Linked DNA regions of Ovis aries. The protein of the gene in region 2 purifies or fractionates together with the protein of the main gene of each other region. This does not show direct contact. Links are inferred from orthologs where the notes say so. Each region holds a gene or a part of one and is shown on either strand. Other genes may lie near its edges.

Region 1 (4,926 bases), on a different chromosome or scaffold from region 2:
TAGTAACTGAACGAGTAACACCTGGCCCTACTCCAACAAACCTGCAAAGCCAGGCTCATAACCTGGTTCCTAAGTTTGGGAAAAAGGAGTCTTTGAGATAGTCTATGGTTGCCCTCTTCTGCTTCTAACTGGAGGGTCACTCAATACCACCACAGCCTGCCTTACCCTTCCTGGGTCTCAAGTCTACCTCTTCTGGGATCTCTTGGCCATGAGCTCCTTCTGCTCCTTTCTAGTCCCTGGCCCACCCCACCTGCTAATCCCTGGGGTGGAACAAGCTGTAGCTCTCCATTACATTTTGGACCAGTGAGCTGGACATGGTCAAGTAACTACCCGGTCAGACTGGCTTTCCTGTCCTAGGCCTTTGAAAGTGAAAGCGTTAGTTGCTCAGTCATGTCCGACTCTGTGAATCTATGGGCTGTAGCCCGCCAGGCTCCTTTGTCCATGGGATTCTCCAGGCAAGAATACTGGAGTGGGTAGCCATTCCCTTCTTCAGGGGATCTTCCCAATCCAGGGACTGAACCCAGGTCTCCAATACTGCAGGCAGATTCTTTACCATCTGAGCCACTAGGGAAGCCCATCTTAGGCCTTTATGGTTCACTTAAATCTGGTTCTCATAGTCACTGTCATTTCTTGACAACTTGTCATTTCTTGACATTGGGCATCTCTCCTGGCATTCCCCTGTCCCAAACTCTGAGGCCATCTCCAGAGACTGGGCTGTCATCTCCAGAGACTGGGCTCAAGAAGCAGGAGCATTAGAATATATCTTGTCCCTCAGCACCTTTTCCTAAGACTCTCTCTCCATCTGACTGGGAGCTCTTTTTGATCTCCACACTCTTTTAATCCCCTCCATCAAGAGACCTATGGGGCAGCTGGTTCTTGGGGAGTGAGATATAGGGACTGGCATAGCTGGACCCTCCCCAGGCTTCAGATCTAAGATTCCCTTCAGGATATGACTCTTGCCTTAAAGGATGCTTTCTTCATTGCAATGTCCAATTCCAGCTTCTCAGCCATCTCCTGCTTATCTCTTAGTTTCTTTAGTGCCACCTGAAGCTTTTCCTGCAGAGAACGAAAGCAAGATGATACCCAGTCAGGTCAAGAAGTAGGGTGCAGTGGTGTGAAGTGGGGGGAAGATCATACTGGTTCTTAGAAGAGGCTGAGTGCAGAGGACAAGGAAGGACTAGAGTCTGTTTGGGGTAGGAACTCTGTGGATGGGAAGGTTTTGGAAAAAGCCTGATATTTCTTACAAAATAGGGCCACACGGTTGGTGTACAAAGGGTGGGGGCACTGCTTGTTCCTAATTAAGCAGGAGGCCACAAGGGAAGAAGATTCTTGAAGCATTTTCCCATAGCACATCCCTGCTCTGTGAGAATGAGAAAACTGTGCTGAGCTTGCCATTTCCCCCTTAAATAAGACATAGAAGGCAGGAGACCCCTATTCTTTCCCCAGCCCCACAGGTAACTCTCTCCCATTTCCAGCTCTGGGGAACAAAGCCATCAACAGGGCCCCATCTCCTTTTTACCTGTTCCTGCCTCTGTGCTGAGGACTCACCTGGTACTCCTGAGCAGCCTCCTCAATAGGGACCATGGGATGATCACGGTGTTTCTGGGACTGGGAACACACCCAGCAAAGGGCCTTCCCATCTGCCTCACAGAAGAGGTGAATTTTCTCTCTGTGCACCACACACAGCTCCCCGTGTGGGCCCTCCTTGGCACCCTGGCTGATTTTCCTAAGGTTGTCCACCATGTTGGCTACCTGTCGATTGGGCCGGAGATTCTGGAGCAGGAAGTGGCGCCGGCACACAGGACAGACGCTACCTCCTTCTTTCCCGACCTCAGAGATGCACTCCTGGCAGAAGCTATGACCACATTCAATGCTCATAGGCTCCACCATGGGATCCAGGCAGATAGAGCACGTGACCTCCTCCCACATCATTGTCAAGGGTACGGCTGAAGCCATTGGGGTGATGCTCCTCTTCGGTAGTGCTGGGGAGATCTTGCGGTGAGGGGAGAAGAGGAAAGGGACGGAAGAGAAGAGCCAGGTAAGAAAAGGGAACCACGAGAGAGGGTGAACTGGAGGGAGTGAAAACAAGAAAAGACAAGGACCTCAACCTGAATAGTGCTCCTCTTCCATAGTCTGGGTCACTGATCCAGTCAGACAGAAGGGGACACTGAGTCCCCAAGAGATAGCAAATATTGTTGAGAACCTGAGAGACAGCTGCTTACAATTCGACTTTCATCATGTTCATCTCTGCTTAACCGCTCAGAGTCCAGGCTTTACCTATTGATCTTCTGCCTCAGGCCACTGGTTTTCTACTCTGTTGAGAAGCTAATCTTAACAGTAGCGACCATTGACTGTGCTCGTTCCATGTGCCAGGTGCTACATGCTTCACATACATTCTCATTAATCTTTGCAATAGGCAGGAGTTATTGGTATCTATCTAATCATCGGTAACATGAATATATATAAGAATATTTATATTTATGCTTACATATTTTCATAAGGATACACGTATATCCGTAAGTACATGGGCTTCCTAGGTGGTGCAAGTGGCAAAGAATCCACCTGCTAATGCAGGAGACACAGGAGACAGCAGGTTTGATCCCTGAGTTGGGAAGATCCCCTGGGGAAGGAAATGGCAACCCACTTCAGTATCTTACCTGGGAAATCCCGTGGACAGAGGAGCCTGGCGGCCTACATACAGTCCATGGGGTCGCAAAGAGTCAGACACGACTGAGCACACACACACACGCATATGTATATGTGTGTATATATGTATGTGCATACACACAGAAGCGTGAGGTTTATTAAGAACTTCCTGGGCTCTTCTCTCAGCTACCCTGAACCTGGCCCCGCCTTTGTTTCTTCTAGGGCGCAGACCCATAGTTTTCTAATATCCTAAGCAACCCTGTCTCTCTCACCTCCAGAGGGAGCCTTTTGGGGACAGCAGTCTCAGGGATCGCGGACCTACCCCCACACCGGGCTCCCGGACCACCCCTGAGCTAGGTTGCCATCCTGGTTCTCCCAGTTTCCCTGGTTTTTCTTCCCAGCTCAGGTGCCGGCGGAAGCAGAGCAATCCGAGCTCCTTCCAGGGGACATCCCAGTCAGGTTTACAGCCCAGCCTCCTCCCAGGCTGCAGGGGAAAAACTGCTGGGTTAAGGTTGAGGGAGACCTGTTGCGAAAGAAAACCTGAGATCGAAATCTCTAGGGGTGGGGACGGCTTGGATGAGGCACTTCAGACCTGGGGCAGGGGAGAGAGGTCCCCTAGGGAGAGCTGGGGTACCTCGGTCTAGCCAAGTTCACTCACCTTTTCAAGAGACGCAGTGGATGGCAGCCGTTTCCTTATTTCACTTTCGATTCCTTGTCCACCGCAAATCTGAAAGGGAGGCGGGCAGAGCGGGAGGAGAGTGGGCGGGGCCAAGGGAGGAGGAAGGCGGAGGGGTTGAGGTGCCGCCAGAGTCTGGAGCTTCTGGGAGGCTGGGGCGAGCGAAAGCTCCGCAGCCTTTAGTCCTTGCTTTGCGTTCCCTCCCGTGTCCTCATTGTGTAATAGAGTGAAGCATCGTATCTGCTGCGTGGAGGAGCCATGCAGGCCTACGTGCTGTGCCCTCGTGTGGGAGCTGCTTTAAAGGAGGTTTGGATGGACAGGGGTGCCTGGAGGTCTCCTCTAAAGGCCATCTTCTGTTCCCTATTTCCAAAAACAATTCCTTTTCAGGAGACTTGATATTCTTTTAACATCAGGGGGAGAGCAATTTATTCCACAGTACCTCAGCGCATTATCACACCAGTGAGTGGTAAGAAGGGACTTGACATTTATTGAGGCAACAACTGTGTACTTATCCTTGAGCCAGGGACTTTCTCAGGTTGTTTTATTATTATTTTAAATTATGGTGAAGTACGTATAACATTTACCATCTTAACCGTTTTCAAGTGTGTAGTTCAGTGGCATTAAATACGTTCACAGTTGTATACTTCACCACAGTCCATGGAGTCTCAAAGGGTCGGACACAACTGAGCCACTAAGCACAAGAACGGAGAAGGCAAGGGCACCCCACTCCAGGACTCTTGCCTGGAAAATACGAGGGACAGAGGAATCTGGAAGGCTGCAGTCCATGGGGTCGCTGAGGGTCGGACACGACTGAGCGACTTCTTTCACTTTTCACTTTCATGCATCAGAGAAGGAAATGGCAACCCACTCCAGTGTTCTTGCCAGGAGAATCCCAGGGGCAGCTTGATGGGCTGCTGTCTATGGGGTCGCACAGAGTCGGACACGAGTGAAGCGACTTAGCAGCAGCAGCAGCAGCAGCAAGCACAAGAAACCTCAAAGAGCCAGGGAGTAGTGGCAAATTCCTATTTATAAGAATCAGAGTTTTTACTCTGGTGGAAGAACTTCTTTCTTTACTAGACCCTTAGAACAAGGCTGAGCCCTGTGTTGGGGGATGGAAAGAAAATGATCTGTAAATGAGTTACTAGTTTGAGGGAAATAGGAGCTGCAACCACCTCCCTTCTTTATTCTCTGAAGAGTGTGTTTATAATGGCTATAAAAAATACCATCACCTATTAGTTGTTGATCTTAGATGTGCACCAGAATTTATGGTACAACATTCTTATATCATAGAGTGGGGTTTCCAAACTGCTGCCATACCTGAGCCTTCAGCAGTGCATCTCATATTTTTATTGGACCATCTTTTTCTGGTTGATGATGTACATTGTAAGACCACTGCATTCCATAGTGCAACCCCATTATCAGAATTTTTTGACTGTAAAATCAGTTTCTTGGTTGTAAGTGATGTTGTTGGAGACCTTGATGTTGTAAATCGAAAAACAGTGGTGCTGGTAGAAGCAATATAAGATGGCAAATGAATCTGTCTCTGGTATAGTAGCTATTTTGTGAGGATAAATTGCTGTTGGTTCAATGTCATTATCATGCCA
Region 2 (4,925 bases):
GACTGAACCTGTGTCTCCTGCATCGGAAGTGTGGAGTCTTAACCACTGGACCGCCAGCCAGGTCCCCTTAGATCTTTTTATTGGATTGGGAGGGGTTGGGGTTCTGGCCTAGGCAGCCTGTTCCACCTCCATCATGAAGTGCTCCAGGAAGTGCTCCAGGTCCTCGTAGAGGCTGTTAGAGCTGGAGAGGCAGAGGCTGAGGCTGCCACTGTCCAGGGAGGACACACCTTCGCGTTGCACAGCCTCCAGGTACGCCCGGCACAGCCACGGCTCCAGCTGCAGGGAGGGTGCTGTCAGGCCGGGTGGGGGCTCTGTGCAGCCTCCCCCCGGCCGGGGACCTGGCCCCTCACCTTCACCAGGACCAGGCTCTTCTCCTTGGGCCTCCCCACTGATAGGTCCTGCCCGAAGCCCAGGTAGATGGTGTAGTGCGGGGAGCTGCGGCGCTGCCGGGCCCGGAACTCCACCAGTTCTGTGGAGCAGGGCTCTGGTGAGGGGGCGGGGCACGGAGGGCCCACAGCCCAAGGGCAGGGGTGTCACTGACCTTGGAAGAAGGTGCCGAAGTCAAAGATGGGCGTGTCACAGTCCCGGGGCAGCAGGCGAGCGGGGCTGGAGGCGCTGGCTGAGCCCAGGGGGCCCCCCACCTCCCAGTAGACTTTGCACTTGCCCAGGCGCCGGGCCCACAGCCGCGGCCCCCGGAGCTCCAGCTGCAGGCCGGGGCCCACGTGCTGAAGCAGCTTCTCTGTGTAGTGGAGCTGCTTCTGGTCGGGCAGCTCGGCGGGGCTGGGGAAGGCGACCTGCTGGGGCCCCAGAGCCTCTCCAGCTACGCCGGGAGGACCGTACAGGAGCACACAGCTTGGACGCCCCACCACCTCCTGCAGCACTGTCCGGCCTTTATACAGGATGGTCAAGTCCAGGGCCCCTAGGCTGGGCTCTGGCTGCAGACCAAGCTGTGAGCAGCCAGGGCCAGCCAGGGGCGGCGCCCCTGCCGTCGGCGCGCAGGCACTGGCAGAGGCTCCCACGTGCGGCTCCGCCTCTGGGAGCTGCCAGGGCTCTGGGGGTGGGCCTGCGTCTGGAAAGGAAGAGAAGCCTGAGCTGACACCTGGGCCCCCAGGTCCTCCCTTTGCCAAATGTTCCCTGGCTCCTCGGGCTGTGGCCTGAGGCTGGAGGCACCACCTCTGTGGCAAGTATAGCTCTCAAGCAGAGGGCTCTGGGCCTGCGGAGGCCCAGCTATACTGGCCCAGCTGTGACCAGCACCATCCCTGCCAAGCACCCCCTCCCCTGGGCTGCACTCTGCTGTCTTGCCTGTCCCTGCAGGGTAGAGCACTCCCCACCCCCTGCAAGAGGCCCTCACCAGGAGCCTCTGGGGAGATCAGATCCAGCAGATGATCCTCCAAGCAGCTCTGCTGTAGAGCCTGGATCAAGATGTCCCCAGCATCTCCAGCGAGGCTTGGGGGGCAGGGTTCAGGGTTCAGCCGGTGCCCCAGGCACTCACCAGTATCTGCTGCCAGGCATAGCCCCGGGAGCCCGCCCTGCAGAAGAGGACAGCGCCAGCATAAAGGAGCTGCCCCCAGGCCCAGAGAGGGAGCGGCCTCAACCCCGGACGCAGAGCGGCCTTACCCTTGCAGGTGGGGCATCTTCTAGGGCCTCGTCCTCCCCCTGGTCAAAGCCTAGGCCTTCTGGGGGAGAATTAGGGTTGGGGAAACGCTGAAGTGAGGCGCCTGGATGTCAACGCCCCCTTGCCCCCGGAAGCTGGTCTGCGCTTCCCCTTGGAGCCCCAGCGGGCTCCCTTCACTCCAGCGCTGCCACCCCCCCTAACTGGCACCAGCTTCTCCCATACCAGTTTCTAAAACCTAAAATCTGACTTAGCAGCTACTCCCAGGACACAGCACAGTCCCCCTGCCGGCAGCACCCCAAACCCCGGCCTTCCTCACCTCGGCACCCCGGCTCAGAGCTGATCTTGTACACCTTATGAGGGTCTGTAGGGTCCCCCGAGTTGTCTTCCAACATCACGAAGCGCTGCGTGCTGTGCAGAGCGCAGCGGAAGTTGGTTTTCCAGGAGGCCCGCAGCGCACTCTCAGGGATCGGCCGGGCACCTCCACCGCTGCGGGGCGGCCACCTGCCTCGGGCCACGGCCCAGGCCTGAGAAAGACAGAGTGTAGAGCACGTGGCCTGGACTTGCGAACCTGGGCCGGCCCTCCCCAGCCCGGGCAGAACTGGGGTCTCACCTTAAAAATGCGCGAATCGGCTTCACCCAGGTCCTTCCGCGCGAAATGCTTCCAGGGTACGCGGAAGCGCGTTCGGGCCGCGTCCAGCCACCGTAGCCCCTCATAGCGGCCGCTGCTGACCTCGCCCAGAAGCCAGTCTCCGAAGAGCACGCGCGGGGTTCCCCTGCGGGCGGAGCAGCCAGGTGTCAGGGCGCAAGGGGGCCGCCGGGGGCGTGGGGCCCGCACCGGGCAGGGAGGCGGGCTCACCGGTCTGGAGCCTCGGCCATTGGTCCCTCCGCAAAGGCTGGGCCTGGAGACAGTGGCACGCCCTCCGCGCAGAGGGCTGGGGTCTCGGGGCGGTCGGGGGTTGGCGCAGGAGAGGAAGGTTGTCTGTGAGTCTCCACAGCTAGTCCCGGGTGTTGGGGGGTCACAGATGCGGGCTTCCAGTCACGGCGTTGCGGAGGTGAGTCCTGGCCAAGACGGCGCTGGATGTGGCTACAGACGCGGCCGGTGCGCGCACGACGCGTCACAGGTTTTGAGCCGGCGTCCGGGCTGGGCCCTACGGGGGCGCGACGGGAACGGCCGCAGGAAAACGAAACCCGGCGTTGCGGAAAAACGAAACCTAACCCGCCACGCCCCGCGCGTCACCGCCACCTCCCCGTCCAGGTCCCCGAGTTCCAGACCCGGGCCCCGCGCCGTCATCCGTGCAGCCCGCCCCGCCTGGTCACTGCTCTGCGAAGCGCGTCCCGGACCCGCGCCTTCCGCCGAGCTCCCTGGTCACTGCTCCGAGAATCGACCCCGGAGTCCGACGAGGCCTCACACTCGTGTTCTTCCCGGGTTGGGCCTCCCCAGTACCTGGCGCAGGTTCGGGCCGCGTCCAGCCTCAGGACGCGGAGTCACTCGTGGGGAGATTGATCCCCTGGGGCTCGCGAGCAACCGCTTTTATGGTGGCGGGGGCGGGGCGGGGCCGGGGGCGGGGCCGGGCCGGGGCGGAGCTCCAGGTGCCGGGGAGGGAGTCACGTGCGCCTGGAGCGGAGCCGAGCGCAGGTGCGCAGGACCCGCTCTTGGGCCGCGGCGGGAGGCGGCACCGGGGTCCTGGCAACCCTGGACCCAGCCCCGATGCGGCCCAGCCGCTCCCCTCGCTCACCCAGCGCAGCGGGGCCTGGGGCCAGCAACCAGCGTCCCGGGAGAGGCCGTGGGATAAGCCGAGGGTTCCAGAAACAAAACCTGGCGCATCGCGGAGCGGAAGAGCGGGCGATGGGTGCGTGGGAGGGGCTGCGGCCGCGCTCTTTGGATTCTTAACCAGTGACAGTTCCTCAGGCAATAATATTCAAATACTGTCGAGATTAAAATACTTGGGAAGGGATGGGAAAACACCGGCGACCCGGGAAGAACGGTAGTGGTGCTGGGGGGTCGGAAGTCTTGCCTGAGGGCCGCCCCGAGGAAGCCAGTGGAGGGGGTTCGGGCCCCAGCTTCGTGACTCTGGGTTCCGTCCGTCCATAGCCTCTGTTCCGCGCACCCACCAGCCCCACGTGCCGCACTAGGCTCGTGGCCACCGTCGTTCTGGGCCACACCCCCCGCCGCCAATCAGTCCAGCCACCTGGACCGGGTGCCTCCGCGAGAGCCCCAGAGCGCTTACTGCCCTCCCTGCGGCCCACAGGGGCAGCAGTGTGACCCTCGGGGCGGTCCCGGGGCCCACGCCCTCCCACACGAGTCCCGGAGGGGGGCTTCTGGCCAAGTGGCTCCTCAGCTTCCCCCAGACGAAGAATCTCCATGTCGAGGCGGCCGCGGTCAGACCAGGAGAGGAACTGCCTGGCCACCAGCTGGCACCAACCCTGGGAAGCCCCTCGCGCAGCAGGTGGTTTCCGGGAAACGGCGCCGAGAGCTCAAAGCAGTGCCCAGACCGCCCGCCCCTCGCGGCTCCCACAGCTCCCCTGGCGGCCAGCAGACGTCCCCACAGAACCGAAAATGTTATTTTATTCTGCGCCGTGGAGTGTGGGGACAGCCACCAAGCCGACTCTCGGGGTCCCGACTCCGGGGGACGCGGCATTAGAAGTGGATGGAGTCGGTACCAAGCGCGTCCTGGGCATCCGCAGCCTCGTCGCCGCTGCCCTCGCTGCCAGAGTCGCCAGCGCCGCCCACTTCCGAGGCGGGCGTGTTGAGAACCACCACGTCGGCCTCGGCGCCGATGTCCTCTCCGAACCACACGGCCTTGTAGCCGCCCTCAGGCCGCCGCTCCTTGGTCAGGATGGACCTCACGGCCGCCGGGCTGCCCCCGTCCGCGCCCTTGGCAGGGGCCTCTGAGAGCCCGCGCGGGGTCTCAGGGCTGGGTGGCGCGGGCTCCGGGGGCTCGGGCTCCTGGGGAGCCGGCAGGGCGTGGCTGGGTGAAGGGCTAGGCGCCGGCACCCAGTTGGCGTTGTCCGAGTCGTTGAGGAAAGCCTGGTTGTCAAACCCTTGGGGCTGGGACTTCTGGGGGTGGGCAGGAGCCGGCAGTCAGCCAGCGGCCAGCTGGGCTCGGCCACCCTGCCCCCCGACACTGGGGGGCCGGGCGCTCTGCCCCTCCGCCCTGCTCCCTAGTCTTTGTGGCATCCCCACCCCACTCTCCTCGCCTCTGCACCCTATCTCCCACGCTGACCACCAGCCTCCCTCCGTCTCCCACGCTGCCCGCTGCCTCACGCTGCCCGGCTCTCCATCCTGCTCCCTCTCCACCGCCCCGCTGTC

What was found. The genes of interacting proteins can lie anywhere in the genome.
Region 1: the proteins of IRF7 (region 2) and TRIM21 purify together in Homo sapiens (affinity purification with mass spectrometry; 3 studies listed by BioGRID, with this or other methods). This does not show direct contact. The link is inferred for Ovis aries from reciprocal best matches to the Homo sapiens genes IRF7 and TRIM21.

Annotation. Positions count from the first base shown.
Region 1 is NC_056068.1:49,571,048-49,575,973, reverse strand, and holds the start of TRIM21 (E3 ubiquitin-protein ligase TRIM21), read right to left. Parts: upstream 3,361-4,926; 5' UTR 2,658-3,360; intron 2,621-2,657; exon of another isoform or gene 2,489-2,620; intron 1,993-2,488; 5' UTR 1,957-1,992; coding exon 1,549-1,956; intron 1,057-1,548; coding exon 961-1,056; intron 1-960. UniProt on the Homo sapiens protein: E3 ubiquitin-protein ligase whose activity is dependent on E2 enzymes, UBE2D1, UBE2D2, UBE2E1 and UBE2E2.
Region 2 is NC_056074.1:47,072,972-47,077,896, reverse strand, and holds IRF7 (interferon regulatory factor 7), read right to left. Parts: upstream 3,124-4,925; 5' UTR 3,060-3,123; intron 2,764-3,059; 5' UTR 2,492-2,763; coding exon 2,472-2,491; intron 2,389-2,471; coding exon 2,226-2,388; intron 2,140-2,225; coding exon 1,932-2,139; intron 1,677-1,931; coding exon 1,618-1,676; intron 1,530-1,617; coding exon 1,352-1,529; intron 1,070-1,351; coding exon 542-1,069; intron 470-541; coding exon 351-469; intron 277-350; coding exon 109-276; 3' UTR 63-108; downstream 1-62. Other genes in the region: CDHR5 (cadherin-related family member 5), read right to left, coding at 4,254-4,673.